2 linked regions of the Elephas maximus indicus genome follow. The protein of the gene in region 2 interacts with the protein of the main gene of each other region in a pairwise test. Links are inferred from orthologs where the notes say so. Each region holds a gene or a part of one and is shown on either strand. Other genes may lie near its edges. The genes, in order: C18H1orf116 and HOMER1.

Evidence for each region.
Region 1: the proteins of HOMER1 (region 2) and C18H1orf116 interact in binary tests that used the Homo sapiens proteins (3 or more experiments, as listed by UniProt). The link is inferred for Elephas maximus indicus from reciprocal best matches to the Homo sapiens genes HOMER1 and C1orf116.

What each region holds. Positions count from the first base shown.
Region 1 is NC_064836.1:16,879,041-16,889,681, forward strand, and holds the start of C18H1orf116 (specifically androgen-regulated gene protein), read right to left. Parts: upstream 4,217-10,641; 5' UTR 4,021-4,216; intron 1-4,020. UniProt on the Homo sapiens protein: Putative androgen-specific receptor.
Region 2 is NC_064820.1:84,490,547-84,501,513, reverse strand, and holds the start of HOMER1 (homer protein homolog 1), read left to right. Parts: upstream 1-6,112; 5' UTR 6,113-7,863; coding exon 7,864-7,868; intron 7,869-10,967. UniProt on the Homo sapiens protein: Postsynaptic density scaffolding protein. Binds and cross-links cytoplasmic regions of GRM1, GRM5, ITPR1, DNM3, RYR1, RYR2, SHANK1 and SHANK3.

The sequences.
Region 1 (10,641 bases), on a different chromosome or scaffold from region 2:
CATACCAAAAAAAAAACCCAAACCTGTTGCCGTCGAGTTGATTCCGACTCATAGCGACCCTGTAGGACAGAGTAGTACTGCCCCATAGAGTTTCTAAGGAGTGCCTGGTGGATTCAAATTGCTGACCTTTTGGTTAGCAGTCGTAGCTCTAACCACTACACAACCAGGGTTTCCATCTTCCCCGTAATACCATGTTATATTTTCCGACACCTCTCCCCCATCTCCATACTGGGTAAAATGTCCTAGAAAACGTGCTCTATTTGAGATCTGGGTGCTTGGATACATGGGCAGGTATCTCTTTGGATTCTGCAAGAATTTCTTCTAGTGCCACAGTCAGGTTTGGGCCAGGTTGGGTGAGTCAGCCTGCCAATCATACAGAGCTGGCAAGCACAAGCCCACATGGCGCTCCTCTCGTGCTTGGGAGGAGTCCCTCAAGAGGGGCAGGTAGGGAGGGGCAGGGTACCGGGGAAGGAAGAGGGAAGATTCCTGGTGAACCAGACATCTGTGGGAGGGGCCAGAGGAGGCAGAGACATCAAAAAAATCCAACGATAAATCAACTTTGGGTGAGATATCTCTTAGGGCTCCTTGGTGAAGTTAGTCCCCCTTCACCCTCCACCCCACAAAAAAAAACAAACCTACTAATTTGGGTCTGGGACTACCGTCAAGTTAATTTTGACTCATAGCGGCCCCATAGGGTTTCCAAGGCTGTAAATCTCTACAGAAGCAGACTGCCACATCTTTCTCCCACGGAGGTGCTGGGGGTTTAGAACTGCCAACCTTTTGGTTAGCAGTCAATTGCTTTAACCACTGTGCATATCCAAACATTGAGAGGAATTTGAGAGGTCACGTGGATAAAGGTCAGTCATTCCAGCTATTCACTTCATTTACAACTGCCCATTCTAAACATTTTATAGGGCTGAGGCCACGACAGCAAAGGAGATCCATCTCATAGGCCAGACGTACAGAAGGCCTTCACACAATGCTGGGTGATTAACTTCTCATCCATTTTAGTGCCTATTGGGTTGAGCTGTTGGAAGGCTTTTTCTTGGCTTCTAACTTACCACTGCAATTTTTCCTTAAATGTTTTATTTCTCAGATAATATGTGACTCAAGAAACTTGGGCAATGTTTTCAGTTAGACTAACATTTATGAACACGTAAGAGACACTGAGGGTGAAAAACTGTACGAGACAAACGCCTTGTTTTCAAGAAGCCAGTGTAGATCCAAGGGTCTAGTTTTCAGACCTAGTTTTCTTATCTATAAAATTGGGGCAGTAGGTATTTAAAGTGACTCACTGTAATTAATGTAATACTCTCTCTGCATGGGTGAGAAGATGCTGCCTCTTCTTTTCACAGAAAATCACTACCCTTGCTCTTCTGAGTACGCTTCAGACTTCATAGTGCTTTGCTAGCCTCTCCTTCCTTCCAGGGAAGCCTGTCTTACTCTCACTTCAGGAAACCCTCTAGCAGAGCCCAAAACAGCAAGAAGAGATAAAAACAACAGGAATAGCACTGCTTCCAAAGAGCATAGCATGCTATGGCTCACAGATACGCTAATCAGGTCTTCATAATAACCTGCAGCATAGGCAGGATGTGACATTTCCTTCATTTTACAGTTGAGAAAGCTGGGGGTCTTTCCACTACCTCTTCCTAAAGGAAGTAGGAATGACCTTTAACAGCATGCAAAAGGCAACCTGTGGATCCGGGACCTCCAGAGGGCATCTCAAGGACTGTCCAGATGCAAGAGTGGCATGTACCCAAAGAAGTGTCATTGGCTACCCCGATGAAATTCTGAAAGCCCTGAAATCATCCTCTCCTTCCCCTTCATACCTTAACTTCTGTGAGTTATCCAGCTTAGTCGTATGCTTCCAGGCCAATTTATTGCCCAGTAACAGACAGATATTTCCAAAGACTAAAGAAATGACACCCAACGCCACTGAAGATCATGTCACCAGGCACTACATAATCACCGCAGAGATGAATCTGAATCTGAAATCAAAGACGAGTGAGCCCTGGGGCGCTCGCACTTCATCTCCACACCAAATTTTCTGACCCAAAGAGTTTGGAATATTAAAGAGAAAAAAAAAAATTCTCTTCTTCCCACCCTTCTACCCAGCTTGGCTTCATTTCTTTCCAACAACTTTACAACTTTGAAACTTGGGAGCTTTTTCAGGGTAGTCATTGAAACCTGAGATATTTCTATCTGATAAGAAGCCCGAGAAACAAGCAAAACACTCAAGGTGAGAGCTTGGTATCTTTTAACCCTCGACCTCTTTTGGAGGCTTGAAGGGTGGAGGGAATTGGTTAAGAAACATGCACAGCCTATCATCAGGACCACCCGTTCAAAGCTGCGTTAAATATTAACTACTCCACTGAAACCAGCCAAGCCTTGGAGGTGAGTAAATAATGTGGAGTTCTGGCATCTAGAGGGGGCGGGGTGAGGAGTGGACTCCAGTCCCATTCCAGTTCGGCTTCTTGGTACCTTCTAAACAGACCCAGAGCCCACTGTCACTCTCCTCCCAGTAGCCCACACCTAAGTCCCCCAAGAACACAGTCTCTCTCCCAGTAGTCAAAGAGGTTTCCTGATTCTCTCTGACCAGGATCTGCTTTCTGCTGACTACCCAGAAATGCACCTAGGCTAGGGCTGGAGAGCATTCTAAGAAAAACACCAGGGGACGGCTGCCTATGTGTCCCTTGCCACGTGCATGCGGACAAGTTTCTGTGTGTGTTTAGACAACATTATAATCTCCTGTTTTACCAGTGAGTTTGAGGGAAGGGGTGAGTAGAAATACCCTCTGCACAGAAAAGCTTTGGTAGGCACTACAGATGATCTTCATTGTGACAAGGTCACCATCTACCACAGGTCTCACAGTGAGTGAGAGGGCTGGCCCTGTGGTGGGGGGGGTGGGTAGGCTAAAGCCTAGAGCTCCAGTGTTGGCATGTGCCAGGCTCTGGGAGCCTGGCACTGGGTCCTCCCTCTTCTCTCTGCCCTGTGGCAGGAGGAAAAGTGGCGAAGTTAGGGACCAGAGTGTTAATTCCAAGGTAGATAACAGGGAAAGCTGACTTGCTGCTCTGACTTTTACATCCAGCTTCCTTGTGCAGGTAAACCTGCCAATACATATTGCCAATTGGGACAACTGAGGGGAAACCAAATAAAACCCTTACATTGGTCTGTTCTCCTCTCTGTGGACTGTGCCACCCACTTTGGACTGAGCCCCACTCAGAACTCTGACCAGACTCGACATGCTACCGCGAAACATTAATGTGGGTGAGGCTCCAGCCAGCCAGCTAACTTTCTGTTTGCCAGTCTCTGTATCTATTAACAGGCAAAGTTGGAAAATTGAGTTGAACCCAAATAAACTTGATTTTACAACTAGATTACCCATGGTGTTTCCAGTAGGAGCTGGTGGCCTGAGTGGGGGTTCTCCTAATGTGCCTAAAACTCACATCCCTCACAAACAATCTAGCCCAGGGCACACCTTACACACTTGCCCACAAAGCTCCATTATCAAGCTACCATGATTGAACATACACACACTGCACCCTTTATTTAAATAAAGATAGACATCTAGTTGATAAAGCCATGGAAGAATTTCCTGTTATAAATGCAATGGAGGACCAAGGAGGGAACATTCTACTTATTTGGACCGTCTCCCACTTTGACTCCCTCCACTCCAACTATTTTCTTTCAAAGTCACAGCCCCACTTCAGTTGCTCAGAGGGGGACATTTCCCAAACACACTTTTATTTCCTGTCCATGTTGTCCGCACAGTATGCATATCCAATGTAAAGAGGCAAATGAAAAAGATGTGTCTTGGCCCTAGTCTCCAGAAAAATACTGCAACCTCATGAAGCTACCAGCCTACCCCAATCCCACACTAAACACAAAGAGTTGAGGAACAGAGAGGAAAGCCCCCTTGCTGGGATAAAGAGTAGGGGGACCCTCGCAATCCTGGAGCTCTGACTTTCCACAGACCCCTCCTCTTGCTGCAGAATAAGCAGTAGTTAGTGACTGACTCACCTGCACTTGGTGGGCAGCTGACGAGAGGAAAGGAATAGCCCTTTATTTCAAAGGGCAGAGACCGGACAGAGCCTGCTTCCCCTGCCTCCTACTGTTTTCTTCCTTTGACCTCCTCCTGACTTACCTAGACAGGTAAATGCTTCATTTGGACTGCCTCACTCCACCCTGCCACTGCCTCTCATCCAATCCCAGCCTCCCCTCCCTACTTCTCATTCCAGCTGTTTCTCCAGGTAGGGCGTGGGAGGGGAATGGGCAAGGCAGTACTGCTCTCACCTAACCAATCCTCTCTTGCCCTACCCTTCTTCTTCCTTAGAGCCAATAATGAGCCCGTAAAAAAAGGAGGGCTGGAGCACTGAGGGACAGGTTTGAACTGGTACTGGAAGACGGCAGGGTTGGCAGGAAGGGGCTAGGCAAAAACATAGTTATTTGTTATTACTTAAAGGAGCACATCCATTGGGCAGCATGCGTTTCTGTGGGCCTGTTCCACTAGGAACTAAGTAACCCAAACCGAACTCTCTTTCGTCAAGTTGATTCCGACTCATGGTGACCCTATAGAATAGAGTAGAACTGCCCCATATGGCTTCCAAGGAGCGGCTGGTGGATTCAAACTGCCGACCTTTTGGTTAGCAGCTAAATGCTTAACAACTGTGCCACCAGGGCTCCAGGAATTAAGTATTCTCCTGAATTCCCCAAGTTAAAATCCTTTGTGGCCAGTTTCTGCTTTTCTAGCTAAGCAGAATCACTTTCATCTCCAAGGCTTCTGCTGTCTTGAGGAGGGTGTCTTACAGCTAGGAATGTGTTAGCTGAGATACTCGCACCCCACTGCTGGCCAACGACCTTCTTGGTCTCATTTATTTCTGGGGAAAATGAAACTATTTTTCCCCCAGGTGGTCCCTGCCCTGATAATAAAGTGACCAGCAGCCGCAAGGGAGGGAACATATACCCTGTCATTTGGGTCTCCCGTCTCTTTTAGCTGTTCTAGGAAGGGGCAATGAGCATTAAGAAATAAAAACAAAATAGCAACCAACTAGCTGAGCAACTCTTGTCTCCTTCCATGGGCAGATTTTTGGCAGCTGTAGTTAAAACAACCTGAAGAGAGCAGGGCGAATCTCAGTCAGCTTGAGGTAGAATAACTCAGTGCTTTCAGGAAACAATCTCCCGCCAGATATTGGCTACTCTTCCTAGATATGATTTTTGCCTGGAAGTTGGTTTCTCCTCAAGGTAGGCTATACTTGATACCTACCAACTTTTTTTTTTTTTATTGTTTTTTAGGTGAAAGTTTACATCACAATTAGTTTTTCGTTAAAAAGGTACACACGAATTGTTTTATGACATTGGTTGCAATCCCCGCAGTGTGTCAGCACTCTCCCCCTTTCCCTTTCCACCCTGGGTTCTCCATGTCCATTCATCCAGTTTTCCTGTCCCTTTCTGCCTTCTCATCTTTACTTTTGGGCAGGTATTGCACATTTACTCTCGTATACTTGATTGAACTAAGAAGAACATCCCTAGCGTGTGTTATTGTTTGTTTTATAGACTTGTCTAATCTTTGGTTGAAAGGTGGACCTCAGGAGGGGCTTCAGTTCTGAGTTAGCAGGGTGCCCAGGGGCCATAATCTTAGGGGTTCCTCCAGTCTCTGTCAGACCAGGTCGTCTGGTCTTTTTTGTGAATTTGAATTTTGTTCTACATTTTTCTACCTCTCTGTCCAGGACCTTCTACTGCAATCCCTGTCAGAGAGGTTGGTGGTCATAGCCAGGATACCACCTGGTTCATCTGGACTCAGGTTGGTGGGGGCTGTGGTTATATAGTCCATTAGTCCTTTGGACTAATATTTTCCTTCTGTCTTTTGTTTTCTTCGTTCTCCTTTGCTCTGAATGTGATGGGACCAATAGATGTATCTTAGATGGCCACTCACATTCTTTTAAGACCCCAGACACTACTCACCAAATAGGATGTAGAACATTTTCTTTATGAACTATATTTTGCCTGTTGACCTAGATGTCCCCTGGGACCATGTCGTCCAGCCCTCAGTCCCAGTAACTTGGTCCCTCAAGGTGTTTGGGTATGTTTAGGTGGCCTCTATGACTTTGCCTTGTTCAAGTAGTACTGACTTCCCCTATATTGTGTGTTGTCTTCCCCTTCATCAAAGCTAACACTTGTCTACTATCTAGTTAGTGATGTCCCCTCCGACCCTCCCCTCCCTCATAATTGCCAAAATTCTTTTTTCGTTTATAAGCTTTTTCTTGAGTTTTTATAATAGTGGTCTCATACAATAGTTGTCCTTTTGTAATTGACTTATTTCATTCAGCATAACGGCCTCCAGATTCATCCATGTTGTAAGATGTTTCATGGATTCATCATTGTCCTTCATTGTTGTGTAGTATTGCATTGTGTGTATGCACCATAATTTGTTTATCCATTCATCTGTTGATGAGCACTTAGGTTGTTTCCATCTTTTTGCTACTGTGTATGGTGCTGCAATGAACATGGCTGGTGTGCATATGTCTCTTCGTGAGATGACTCTTATTTCTCTAGGATATATTCCTAAGAGTGAGATTGCTGGATCATATGGTGTTTCTATTTCTAGCTTTTTAAGGAGGCACCATATCGTTTTCCATAGTGGTTATACCATTTTACATTCCCACCAGCAGTGATTAAGAGTCCCAATCTCCCCACAACCTCTCCAACGTTTGTTATTTTCTGTTTTTTTAATTAGTGCCAGTAATGTTGGGGTGCCATGGCATCTGATTATTGTTTTAATTTGCATTTCTCTAGTAGCTTTTTTTAATAGCTAGTGATCACGAGCATTTCCTCAGGTGTCTGTTACCTGCTGCCTGAATGTCTTATTTGGTGAAGTTGTCTGATCATATCTTTTGCCCATTTTTTAATTGGATCATTTGCCTTTTTGTTATTGATGTGTTGAAGTATTCTGCAGATTTTAGAGATTAGACCTTTGTCAGATGTACCATAGCCCCCAATTTTTCCCAGCCTGTGGGTTCTTTTTTTACTCCTTTGCTGAAGTCTTTTGATAAGCATAAGTGTTTAATTTTTAGATGATGCTAGTTATCTAGCTTATCTGTTTGTGTATTGTTAGTTATGTGTTATATTTATGTCACGTATTAGGGCCCCAGCATTGTCCCCAAGTTTTTTTTTCCATGATCTTTTTTTTTTTTTTTTTTTTATCATTTTAGGTTTTATATTTAGGTCTTTGATCCATTTTGTGTTAGTTTCTGTGTATGGTGTGAGGTATGGGTCCTATTTAATTTTTTTTTACAGATGGACATCCAGCTATGCCAGCACCATTTGTTAAAAAGGCTGTCTTTTCTCCATTTAATGGGCTTTGGTCCTTTGTCAAAAATCAGCTCATTATAAGTGGGTGGATTTACATCTGGGTTCTTGATTCTGTTCCATTGGTCTACGTGTCTGCCATTGTCCCAGTACCAGGTAGTTTTGACTACTGTGGTGGTATAGTAGATTCTGAGATCGGTAGTGTGAGGCCTCCTACTTTGCCGTTCTTCTTCAGTGATTCTTTGCTTATCCCGGGCCTCTTTCCTTTCCATATAAAGTTGGTGATTAGTTTTTCCATCTCATTAAAGAATGCTGTTGGTATTTGGATTGGGATTGCATTATATCTGTAGATCACTTTGGGTAGAATTGACATTTTCACAATGTTGAGTCCACCTATCCATGAGCATGGTATGTTTTTCCATTTAAGTAGATTACTTTTGGTTTCTTCCAGTAGTGTGTTGTTGTTTTCTTTGTATAGGTCTTTTGTGTCCCTGGTTAGATTTATTCCTAAGCATTTTATCTTTTCAGGGGCTATTATAAGTGGTATTATTTTCCTGATTTCCTTTTCAAAGTTGTTTTTGCTGGTGTATAGGAATCCAACTGATCTTTGCATGTTGATCTTGTATCCTGCTTCTCTGCTGAATTTTCTATTAGCTCCAGTAGTTTTCTTGTGGAATGTTTGGGGTTCTGTATGTATAGGATCATATTATCTGTGAATAGGGATAGTTTTATTTCTTCCTTTCCAATTTGGATGCTCTTTATTTATTTTTATTGCCTTATCGCTCTAGCTAGGACTTTCAGCATAATGTTAAATAGGAGTGGTGATAAAGGGCATCCTTGTCTTGTTCCCACTCTCAGGGGAAATACTTTCAGCCTCTCTCCATTGAGAATGAAGTTGGCTGTTGGTTTTGTATATTAAAGAAAAAAAAATTGTCATCAAGCCTATTCTGACTCATAGTGACCCTATGGGACAGAGTAGAACCAACTCATAGGATTTCCAAGGAGCGGCTGGTAGATTCAAACTGCTGACCTTTTGGTTAGCAGCTGAGCTCTTAACCTTCTATTTTATTAAGACTTTTTTTTTTTTTTTAAATCAGGAATGGGTGTTGGACTTTATCAAATGCTTTACTGTACCCATTGAGATGTTCATGTGATTCTTTTCTTTTGTTCTGTTTATGTGGTCGATTACATTGATTTTCTAATGTTGAACTATCCTGGTGTATATGGTATGATACCTATCAACTTTTAAGGTACTCTACTTACTCACATTAAAGGGGCAGGAAGAAGATTTAAAGTTAATAATAAATGCAATAATTTCCAAATTTTATTATGTTTTTACTTTTTTGCTAGGTATTTTGCTAGGCACTTGCATGTATCATTTCATTGAATCTTGAACTTTTAATATAAACTTAATATTAACATTTAATATCAACTTTGAAAAGTAGGCACTATTACTACCTAAATTTTATAGGTGAGGAAATGGGGGCACAGAAAGGTTAAATAACTTGCCCAAGAACAAGTAGCCAGGAAGTGACAGGGCAGTAGTTTCAATTCAGGCAGCCTGACATCAGAATGATGCCAATCTGCCTGTTTTGGAGAAAATGGAACATGACATGCACAGATAATTTGTAGGTCTAATTCTAACCATTAAGGGGCCTTGGTGGTGCAGTAGTTAAGCATTCAGTTGCTAACCAAAAGTTGGCAGTTTAAACCCACCTGGCACCTCTGTGGGAGAAAGACCTAGTGATCTGCTGCCATAAAGATTCAAAACCAAACACTTTGCCATCAAGTCAATTCTGACTCATAGTGACAGTATAGGACAGAGTAGAACTACCCCATAGGATTTCCAAGGCTATAAACTTTACAGAGGATTTTTGTTCTCTTTATGTCAAGGTATACTTCATACTGAAAGCTATGGTCTTTGATCTTCATCAGTAAGTGTTTCAAGTCCTCTTCACTTTCAGCATGCAAAGTTGTATCATCTACATATTGCAGGTTGTTAATGAGTCTCCCTCCAATCCTGATGCTGCGTTCTTCTTCATATGGTCCAGATTCTAGGATTATTTGCTCAGTCTACAGGTCAAATACTTATAGTGAAAAGATTCAACCCTGGCATATACCTTTCCTGATTTTAAACCATATGGTATCCCCTTGTTCTGTTCAAACAACTGCCTCTTACAGGTTCCGCAAGAGCACAATTAAGTGTTCTGGAATTTCTATTCTTCACAATATTCTCCATAATTTGTTATGATTCACACAGTCGAATGCCTTTGCGTAGTCAATAAAACACAGGTAAACAAAAATACTCACAAATGGACCAATAAGCAACATCATGATAAACGGAGAAAAAATTGAAGTTGTCAAGGCTTTTGTTTTACTTGGATCCACAATCAACACTCATGGAAGCAGCAGTCAGGAGATCAAATGACACATTGCATTGGGCAATTCTGCCGCAAAAGACCTCTTTAAAGTGTTAAAAAGTAAAGATGTCACTTTGAGGACTAAGGTGCGCCTGACCCAAGCCACAGCATTTACAATTGCCTCATATTCATACAAAAGCTGAACAATGAATAAGGAAGACCAAAGAAGAATTGACGCCTTTGAATTATGGTGTTGGTGAAGAATATCGAATATACCATGGACTGTCAAAAAAAAAAAAGAATAAATCTGCCATGGAAGAAGTACAATCAGAGTGCTCCTTAGAAATGAGAATGCCGAGACTTCATCTCACGTAATTTGTACCTGTTATCAGGAGGGACCAGTCCCTGGAGAGGGACATCATGCTTGATAAAGTAGAAGGTCAGCGAAAAAGAAGAAGACTCTCAACAAGATGGATTGACACAGTGGCTGCAACAATGGGCTCAAACAGCAGTGATTGCGAGTATGGTGCAGGATCGGGCAGTATTTTGTTCTGTTATACATAGGGTTGCTGTGAGTTGGAATTGATGTGATGGCACCTAACAACAACAATCTTTACAGAAGCAGACTGCCACATCTTTCTCCCTCAGAGCAGCTGGTGTGCTTGAACTGCCAACCTTCCAGTTACTAGCTGAGTGCTTTAGCCACCACACCAACAGAGCTCCTTCCATAAAGATTATAGCCTAGAAAACTCTATAGGGCAGTTTTAGTCTCTAACATAGTGACACCATGAGTCAAAAACCAACTGGACAGCACACAACAACAATTCTAACCATTAGATTCATCCTTCCCCGTCTCACTTCTTATAGCTATTAATATGTTTTATAACAAGATGACACACAACTTTCATTGTCTCTCTGTGATCCTAGTTGAGTAGGAAATAAGAATTGCAATGACACTGGGGCCAAGGTAAAGAAG
Region 2 (10,967 bases):
GCACAGTGGTTAAGTGCTCAGCTGCTAACTGAAAGATTGGCAGTTTGAACCCATCACCCACTCCAAGGGAGAAAGATGTGGCAGTCTGCTTCTGTAAAGATTTACAGCCATGGAAACAGTGGGGCAGTTCTACTCTGTCCTGTAGGGTCCTTTTGAGTCAGAATTGACTCGACCACAATGGGTGAGAGAGAGGCATGAAGAAGAAAATTCTGTAATCTCCTTCCCCCCTTCCTGTTTAGTATGCTATTTGTGAGGAGATGATACCTGGAAATGCAATAGTCTTCTAACAACAATGAGACAAGAAGCCAAGTGTAAGAGACAACACATGAAGACGGCAAAATAAAAAAGATGGAAAGATCCTGGACCCTGATGACACCCTGAACCTTCTAAACCAACCACAGGACCACCTACCTTCAGACTTCTTGTTAAATATAGAGAGTTGATAACACAGGAACACATAGAGTAGCAGCTGATGGGGGAAATGGTAGCTGAGATAAGAGGGGGGGTAGGAGCCAGATCGAGGAGTGCCTCTTGGACTAAGAAATAGAGTTTGGATTTTATTCTAAGTGTGAGAGATTTTAGCAGATGACACAACACTCACACAAACACATACGTACACACATTTTAGGAAAAAAGAATTCATTATTAAAATAGCAAAATAGATATTGATTAAAGATATATTTGCCATTTCTGTTCTAATTTGTAGAGAAATTATTGTTTAGAATTAGATTAAAAGAAACCAAAAAGCCTAATCAGTAACTTATGAAGTATCTTGGCTAAAAAAACTGCAAATGTTGAGCATCAAATCTCTGAGCTCTTACGCTTGGGGGAACCTTTAACACATGATCTAGGTATTTATCATTTCTTGCTGCTTTAGCCATGTCAGAGTCTTTATCAGTTATGTTCAGCTTCAGAGAGTTTGCAATTGCCATCTTAAACCCCCACCTCTTTTTAAAATAGTGCCAAATTTCTGCTTTACTCTTATTTCTTTGAAAAAACAGGCAACTTCCCTTCATAAGAGCGGCTGTCCTAAATACCTTGGGTGTTGTTTTTCTCCTAGCTGGCACCAAAAGAATCACAAAATAAGGTAACAGCTCATTTAAAATATTTTCCTCATGGTTGCTCTGTTCCCCCTTTCAGGAAAAAGATTATTGGTTACCATAGCAATCAGCTTCTACAGCATTCCATTCTAAGTAACTGCACAGGTACAGCTCAAGCTTTACTACAGTCTTTACTGTAGCTGTCTGCAGAGCTGCATATTTTTACACCATGTTTTCTGTAACTGCTGTTTGAAACAACCAACCAACCAATCAAAAACACAATCGAAAAACCTGGAGTTAAACGAGATAATTTTTTCAAAGACATCAATATCCCTGTCTCTTCTGAATGTCTTAAAATTTACATACGTAATTATACAATGAGTTCCTCACAGTGCCTAATGAAAAACTCTCTGGTATGTTCTTTCACTGGCTTGTATTATATTTTTATCTTTTTGCTAGTATTTGGAAAACAAAGAATGAATTTACAGTAAAAATCAGAGTAGGAGATAGTTCTGTGAGATCATTTCCCATGGGCTCAATATCATATATTTCCTGACGATAATTCTCTAACTTCTCTCTCCTTCCTAAAAAGTTACTGTAGAGTCTGTAACACAATGTGATGCGTCAGAGTAGAACTGAGCTCCACAGGGTTTTCGATGGCTGATTTTCTGGAAGTAGATCACCAAACCTTCCTTCCAAGGTATCTGTGGGTGGGCTTGAACCCCTAAACTTTGTGTTAGCAGTGCAGCATATTAACTGTTGGTACCACCCTATCATGCCCAAATTCCTGTGACAAAATAATGCATATATACCTATATTAGATAAAATTCACTTACTCAGAGAGATAAAACTTGTCCTCAAGCAATTGCCTTGGAGATGCCAAACACTTACTGTTATGGATTGACTTGTATCCCCCCAAAAATACGTATAAATTTGGCTAGGCCATGAGTCACAGTATTGTGCGGTTGTCAACCATTTTGTGATCTGATGTGATTATCATATGTGCTGTAAATCCCAATCGCTATGATATTAATGAGGCAGGATTAAAAGCAGTTATGTTATTGGGGCAAGACTCCTCAATCTACAGGATCAGGTTATATCTTGAGCCAATACATTTTGAGATATAAAAGAGAGAAGCAAGCAGAGAGGAGAGGGACCTCATGCCACCAAGAATGACGTGCTGGGAGCACAGCGTGTCCTTTGGACCTGGAGCCCCTGTGCTGAGAAGCTGCTAGATCAGGGAACGATTGATGACAAAGACCTTCTCCCAAAACTGACAGAAAGAGAAAGCCTTCCCCTGGAGTTAGTGCCCTGAATTCAGACTTCTAGCCTCCTAGACTGTGAGAGAATATACTTCTGTGTGTTAAAGCCATCCACTTGTCTTATTTCCATTATAGCAGCACTAGACAATTAAGACACTTACCTTTCCACTCTTTAGACTATTAACTAACCTGTTTCTGTTCAGAACATTACTGATAATAACAAAAGATGTTTTTTATAAATAGGCCAAACATAACTTAATGGCACCCAATATCTGCTACAGTGTGGAAGAGGTGGAATGATTTGAGAGAGTTAACTTGATAAATTCTGATTCCCTACAGCTCTTTCATTCTTTTCTCATCACGTTTAGTATTTGCTGGTTATTTTGTTCCTTCAGAACTACGTGGCATTAACTAGAAATCTTGAGGTTTCTATTGTATGGAGCGGTATCCTTTTACTTATTACTTTGTTTGAAGCAATACTGGTGTTTTGGCTATTAAAAAGAGACAACTTGAAAGGAAGTTGCTATTATCTAATTTAATGTTAAGCAATTAAAAATAAAATTCGACTTTTACCCTCTTTTCTGCCAAGTTTTTCTATGTTCTAGATGTCTTTTCATTGAAAAAGACATATCTCATGACCAAGCTATGAACACCCATTGAAGACTGCCATCTCCTATTAAGGGCATGGAAGTAAACTCTGTAACTAAAACAGATGCCTTCGCCCACAGATTCTAAAATCAGAGGGTATTCATAAACCTCTCTACAAATTTTCGGAATGTAAGTGGGAAACAGGAAGTGTTAAAAATTTGAAACTCTGCTAAAGCACTTTTTGCTCTTCCGGTAAAAGAAAATACATTACTTTCTAGGAAGCTCACTACTTTAATAAACATACAAAGAAATCAGAGTTGGAAATTCATGTCTGGGATTTGGGTTATGTCAGCTCATTTTAGGAGAAAAGATAATACTTTTAGATGGAAAGTTATAGAATGGTTCTCTGACTCCTCTCAAAATTATATTGGATTTATTTCAAGAGGGGAAAATAGGACCTCACTTCCCTTATTTTTTTCCTGAGCTTCCATATTACATAAAATATTTCAAAGTTTTTACTTGTTATCTTGGATACATGGACATATATACTCCCTTATATACTCATCCCACATAAACAAGAAACAAAAACTGATTGATTATCTGGAGAATTTTCTCAATAAGAGCAGAGGCCAAAGTTAAATAATTATATCACAGTGCACCATTAGATTTATGTTTTAAAAAAAGGTACTCTCAGTTTTCAGTCAACAAAAGAGCAGCTGAGAAGGGACCATGCAGCTTTGAAAAGTGGAAATTCTATTGAAAGGTCAGCATTCTAAAGGCAAGGGGGCAGCTGACATGCTGTTTTGACAGCTGGGTAAAAATTAAGAGGAAAAAGTTTGTAAAACACAGGAAGTTGCGATCAAAGGGTAGAATGAAGTGTTTGAAAAATGGTAACGTGAGAACTTTAACATGAAGGGAAAGAGCAGGAAAGAGGGATAAGTGATTCAGTTCTGAGAAAAAATAGTTTGTAGAGAAAATTTAGTAGAGTAAAAAATTAATTTCTATTTTAATTTGCAGAGGCCAAGAGATGACATTATTTGAAGAATGATGGTCTTATTTTTTTAATATTTTATATGTAAGTAGGAAGATCCATTTGTCTGAAATATGTTAGTACAAGTTTCTATTAACACGTTCATATGTATTAGACGAATTGGCAAGTACGGATTTGCTTCTGATTAACTTTTTTTTTTATAACCTTTTAAAAATGTTTCTATTCACTACTTTTAACATTTCAAACTTGAAGCAAATTCTGAAATCAGGGAGGGATCATGATTTCATAATGTGAAGATGATCAGAAAGCCTGATTTAGTTACAAATTGGTATTAATCTTTTTTTTTTTTTTGCCAGTGTTCTTTAATCTTGGGTTCCTAATTTGATTAAGAATATTTACATGCAGAAAGCTGCAAAACCAATGTTACTTAATTAGGAATTGTGTGAGTAGCTTAACATTAAAAACATGTCCCCCCCCCCCACAGGGTATAAATTCTATAGAGTTTTAGGTTCTCTTGTTTAAGCTACATTGATTTATAACTCTCTTTTAACAATCACTTGAGCCCTGGTGGCACAGGGGTTAAAAGGTCCGCTGCTAACCAAAAGGTTGGAAGTTGGAATCCACCAGCTGCTCCTTGGATACTATATGGGGCAGTTCTACTCTGTCCTATAGGGTCCCTATGAGTCAAATCAGTAGAAAATGACATAAGAATCACACCAAAGTGGTGAGATATGGAAATCTCGCAAATATATTAAAGTCAGAATTTAATCATCTGCATAAACCAAACCAAACCCCGAAGGCAACGGGTTAACAATCACTGTATAGGTTGGTAATCCTATGTCCTGGATTTTCCAGGTCACTTCGGATTTCAAGTATTTCATTTATTGTCATATGATGTGTCCTGATTTTGGTTTGAAATACATGGTCACTCAATTTAGAGACTAACTCTGAAATAGTAATATCCTTTGACAGTAGGTAGCAATTCTTTTTCCGGCCCATGACTATCAAGTTAAATCAAATTAAACAAAAATTCGTTATATATTTGAGTCTTAATAGGTAGAAGTTGTAAAAGCTTTATAGTAATTTATAGTTTTAAAAGCATTTGTAATATAGACAGAAACATAGCTAATAAGCCTATACGCGGGTATTCACCCTTGCCATGAATAGAAGTGAAAAACATACTTAGGAAATATTTTAACTATGTATTATATGGTAAAAACTAAGGAAGACAAAAATAATCAAAATGTGCTCGTGTTAACAAAAAAGGATTTAGTGGTCTTATTTTAATTTCCACAAACTGGAACTCACGTTGTTGGTACACCGGAAGTGAGAATATACTGGCGTTTGCTATAAGAGCCCTGGTGGCCCAATGGTTGAACGTTGGGCTGCTAACCAAAAGGTCCGCAGTTCTAATCCACCAGCTATTCCTTGGAAACCCTATAGGGCAGTTCTACTGTGTCCTACAGGATTGCTTTGAGTAAGAATCGACTTGATAGCAACGGGTGATTCGGTTGCTATGATAATTATCTGAATGAACTTTCTAAGATTGAAACATTATCCTATGCCAAAACATTGTTTTTTTGCAAATGAAAACATATCATTTTATGTCCTTTCCCCTTTACTATCATTTATAGCATTGCTGTATAACCTTTGTTCATGGCCCGGCTCTTTATTCTTCTGTACTTAATCACTAAAGAGGGGAAAAGAGAAGTTTTAACGTCTACAATTTATAGATTGGTATTTAATAAGTCTTTCGAAAATTACGGTGAATTTTCCCAAGTCTTGGAAGTATATCTACCACTAGTGTTCAGGTTCTCCCTCCCACATTTCCCAGCTAGTTGGGACGTGAAAAGCTCGGGGATGCTGCTGCAACAGGGGTGGGAGTGGGAGATAGGATATCACCCCCCGCCCCCTGACACTTCGGAACTGTTGCTATGAATGATTCACTTCATTTGGCACATTTGTTGCGAGGAAATCTCCTCCAGCCGCTTCCTTCTAGGAGCTCCTCTCGGGCTGTCTCCTGTACTTTGGCCTTTAAGGAGAAGCTAGAACAGGTGGGCACAGAAGAGCTCGCCGAGTCCTCCTCCCCTGCTCCTTCCCTAATTTAGCAATGCTTCCGGCCGCGTGACATCATCCCCCGCACTCTGGTGACGTGAGCGGCGGGTGACGTGTGTGCGGAGAGGAGCGCGCTGACGTTGCTATTTAAAGGTCCTCCTGCGGGGAGGATGGAGACACAGCGCGAGCATCTGGTGTGGGGAGCGGCGGAGGCTGTGGCGGCCGGGAGCGGGGCCAGGAGCCAGCGGAGGAGGAGAGCGCACGGCCCGCCCGCCGCCGGCCGCTAGGGGAGGGGGGAAAGAAAGGAAGGACGGACTGACGGACCTGCTGACTGGCTGGCCTAGCTCCCCACGAGGGCTGGCTCGGCCCCTGACCACCAGCCTCTCCTCCCCCTCGCGGCTGTCTCCCCCTCCCGCACCCCGCAGGGCCCCTCGGGGCCCAAGGGACAGATCTGCGCCCCAGCTCCCGGCTCCCGGCCGCGCCTCCGCGGTGGCGGCCGCCTCCCGCCCCTCCTGCGAGCAGGGGGAGGGGCCACTATCACCCGCCCCCATTCTCCCCGCCCCCTCCTCCGCCCCCCGCAGCTCGCTCCGCCGCCGCGCTAGCCTCTTGCGGGCTGTGCTGACCGGGGAAGGGGTGCCCTCCGCTCTGCAAGCCGGCGGGCGAAGGCGGAGGCACCGGCGGGCTTCAGGCCGCTCGGTCCGGCGGGGTCCTGCCGAGCGGGAGCTGGAAGCCGGCGGAGGCGGGTGGTGAAGGAGGTGTGAGGAGGCGGCAGCAGGGCTCCGGGAATGTGAGGCGGCGCGTGGCGGCAGTGCGCAGCCAGAGAGGCGAGGAGCAGGGGTGAGGGCGCTGGAGCAGCGGCTCTCCCGCGGCTCGGAGCCCTGGTCCCCGGTCCCTGACGCGGCATTAGCGCCCGTCGACCCTTCAGCCCCCTCCTCCGCCGCCGCTCGGCCCGCCCCGGAGCTGGGGGCAGGGTGCCGTTGGAAGCGTGGAGCCTGGCTCTCTGATTCATTCATTCCTTGCCGACGGGAGCCTGAGACCCGCTGCGCTCTGAAGGGAGGGGGAAGAGGGCAGCGGCGAATGAAGGGCCGGGCGCGAGGCGGGCTCCATTGTGCTCGGCGGCGGGGGGCGGGCAGGGGCTGAGGGAGGTGGGATCGGGTCCCCTCCCCCTGCTCCCCGGCGTGCGCTGCGCCCCCAGCCTTCTGCCAGTAGAGATATGGCTCCGTTTATTCTCCTCGGGAGAGTGAATCGATCCTGCCCAGTCTTCTCTTCCTTCTCCCTACCTCCTCTCTGCTCCGAGTCTTGAGGGGAAAATTAAAAAGACAGATTCCAATGTGGAGTGCCGTGCACGTCGCGAGCTGTCGGGTTTGCACTTCGAGGAGATTTTTCTATATATTTTTTTCTAATGTGAGCGTAGGGAAGCATTGGCATTACTGCTTTTCGGATGTTTATTTTCAGGTAGGGATCTTTTAAGTGCACGTCGCGGTGGGTTGACGCTCCACCCCCAGGGACTTGGTGTGGAGAAATTTGAACCCGTAGCACCGAAAAGGCCGAGTTACCTAGCTCTTCGTGAGTGTCAAGGAGGACATGAGCGAAAAGACCAGCGAACTCAGTTTTTATAGGACTCGGTGAAGCTGGATCCCGCGTTTTCCTACAGACTCATTTTGTGGAATAGAGTTGACCGTTGTCTTCTCCGCGCAGCATTTTAACTCTAATAAGCAAATGCCACCTCAGTTTATTTGAACGATTTCTTACTTACGAGGGAGAAAGCATTTTACTTAAGGAAACAAATTGTCAGCATCATTAAAATACCTCCGGAAAAGGACTTCGGGGGGTGGAAAAGCAACGGCGAAATAGCAAACGGAGAAATTCCTTTGGAAGTTATTCCGTATAAGAGCAGAAACTTCAGAGCAAGTTTTCACTGGGCAAAATGGGGTAAGGATTTTTGTGCTTAACACAACTTCAAATCTGTTTATGTATGTGTGTTATTGTCTGTGTTTTGTGTTTTCGAACAAATTTGCCACCTTGCTAAGCTGGCTACACCTTCAAAATATAGGTGTGTTAACCTATTAACAATTTATTTTGTGCGTTCTTTTAGAGTGACACAGGGAGGTCATAGTTAAGGAACGGCGCGTATAACGTTAGTAACCGGAATATAGTTTTATCAGTAATATTTAAGAAGGCAACGCATTCTCCACAAACTGCTGCATGAGTTTGTAATCAAAATCGTGTCTGAGGTTTTGTTGCTGGTCGATGTCTTTCAAAAAGAAGTACTGCATTCTCTCAGTACTTTGAGAATAATCAGTTGCACAAAGGGAACGATTGTATTGTAAACTAAATAGCAGTTAGACGACAGTCCTTGAAAATGATCCAGTGTAAATTATTGCCCTCAATGTGCCCTCTGTTTTGCCCTTGAATATAAGCTAAAAATATATATGTATATATATAAGCTAGAACTGATTTATTGGGGGGATTTAAATGAAAATTTGAAAGTCTACTGAAGCTGTCTCCAGAGTGCGGTGCAGTCAGTAGGAAATAAGAACTTGAATAAGAAAAAGTCTTTTGTCGAAGGAACTTGTTCACTTCTTCTGTTTTTTACTTCTAAGCTCAGGTTTTCCGTTTGTGTTAACAATGTCAGATCTACCTTTCTGTCAGATCCAAATCCAATCAGGAGTGCATTTTCCAACCTTTTATTAAGTTCGTTCACACGAGTAGCTTGATAAAATGCTAGTGACTTCCTAATTTAAGCTGGAAACTCATATTAATGGAATGATCTACTTGTTTTATTGACAGATTGTTGATGCTTTCCCTCAGAGAGGAACTTCCAGAATTTTCTCTGCCTCCCTCCCTCCCTCCCTCTCTCTCTGTGTGTGTGTGTGGTTGAGGGGCAGATTTTGAAAGGATGGACTCACATTTCTTTGTGATAGTTTAGGGGAGTGTACACACACTTCTTGAGACTTTTGAAAGGAAGTTTTGGGTAGTACTACCTTTTTGTTGGAGTTAAAATGTGAAGTTAATTAATTTGAACAACTTTCATAGCTTGGGTATTGTAGGAGCTCTTCCTCAGGAATTAATGGAAAACGGTGATAACTGTTCTTAAAAAATTACAAGTGGTGAGAATGTATGTAATTCCCATGATTTGGGAGCAATTAAAATATCTCATTCTGTTTCTAGCATTGCTATTAGTAGGCTAGTGCTCTGAGGCAAATATTTAACTTCTGTGGACTGTCTTCTTATCTGCAAAGTGAAGAACTTATGTGAGATGGGTTTGAAAGACTTTTCCAACTATAAAAATGAATTGTTTTCTTTTTTCTCCTTACATTTTAATGATCACTAGTTGGCTTCTTAAAGTAGATCTTTCAGGTGGAGATGTTATTTTCTGTAAAGAGTTTTTAAGCACCTTAACAAGCTGGAAAATAATGCATTTGAAAAATGTTTTAGATTAACTCCACTAATTTTAAAGGAGGGATTCTGAAAAATACTGTTATTTAAAGCCTTTGAAATATGGCTTCTTTTGAGAACCTGCAGTTCTTCTGGTTAAAATATGTTGGAGCAAAAAAATCAAGTGGCAGTTTTTCACGTTGAAGACTGCATTCTCTAGATTGTGAGCGGTAGCATCTTGGAAGAAAATCAGTTTTCCACAACCTTAAAAAAAAAAATTTTTTTTTTTAAGCCTCATGAATGCCTATCATTTTACCAAGAAGGCTTGAGATGAACTTAAATACTGAGGGGACTAGGATTTAAAATATAAAAATAAGCCTCCCCGTGCCCAGCACACACGTAACACACATTTAGATACTTCAGCATAATTAAATTTGCTGATAAACTAGTTTATTTGCCTTTTGTTAATAAAGTCTTAAAGGTGGACTGAGGTGGAAAGGGAGCGAGTGTTTGTGGCGTTATTTTTCAGAAAGTCCGTTATAGGGGCTATGACCCTTTTCATTGATAGTGACGTGTACCGTCTTGAATTAATGAGCGGAAGTGTAGGTGGAAGTGGACTAGAAGAGCACAAGGAGAAGGCATTTGTGCAAGTTTCCAAACTTGATAGATGTTTATACCTAATAAATGTTTGTGGAGTAAGCGTAGCTGCCAGCACCTATGTAAAACAAGAGGAAACAGAGCTATAAATGACCTTTAAACTTTTACCCACGCAATCCTAAAACTTTATTCTGACACGTGTCTGAAATTTAATATTGTGAGTGAAGAGTGTCACATATAATGAATGCATTTTTGGCTGATGCTAGCTCATAGTAAAAATTATTTCTTTGCCTTAATTATGAATGTAATTTTAAGGGCAAAGTCTAAGCAAAAGAGGTTACGTTCAAGAAAATGAGTGATTAGGTGGGAAGAAAATCTGTGGCTCCTGAACAGTAATTTATGAACTCTGGTGGAACTGAAAAGAACAGCTGAAACTGACAGTTGGCAGAGTCTGTCAAAGTATCTTGGATGCTGCATGAACTGTTTTTAATTGCAGTGAAGACAGCTGAAGTATCCGTTTGTAAAGTTGTGTCAGACAATAAAAAATTAGGGCATTCACGTATGTAAGATGAAGTCTATGGAAAACTCAGTGAGAAGGTCCCCTCCCTTTGGTTTGCCACCCCCCCCCCCAAGTAGCATCTCACAATAAGAGCAGTGAGTCACTACCTATTTCAGAGCTGTCAGACGAGTCAACAGAAATCAAGTAACTTCAGTTATTTCATGCTACCTTTGGAATATTTTGTTTATTTATTTATTTTTTTGGAAACCCTAGTGGCATAGTGGTTAAGTGCTACGGCTGCTAACCAAAGGGTCAGCAGTTCGGATCCTCCAGGCGCTCCTTGAAAACTATGGGGGCAGTTCTACTCTGTCCTACAGGGTCGCTATGAGTTGGAATTGACTCGACGGCACTGGGTTTGGTTTTTGAATTGTTGCTTAGATCATATTGGCAACTAAGTGCCAACAACAAAGGACTAAAGCTCCCCCTACCCAATTAAAGCTAGTTATATAGGGTCGCTATGAGTTGGAATCTATTGGATGGCAATGGGTTTGGTTTTT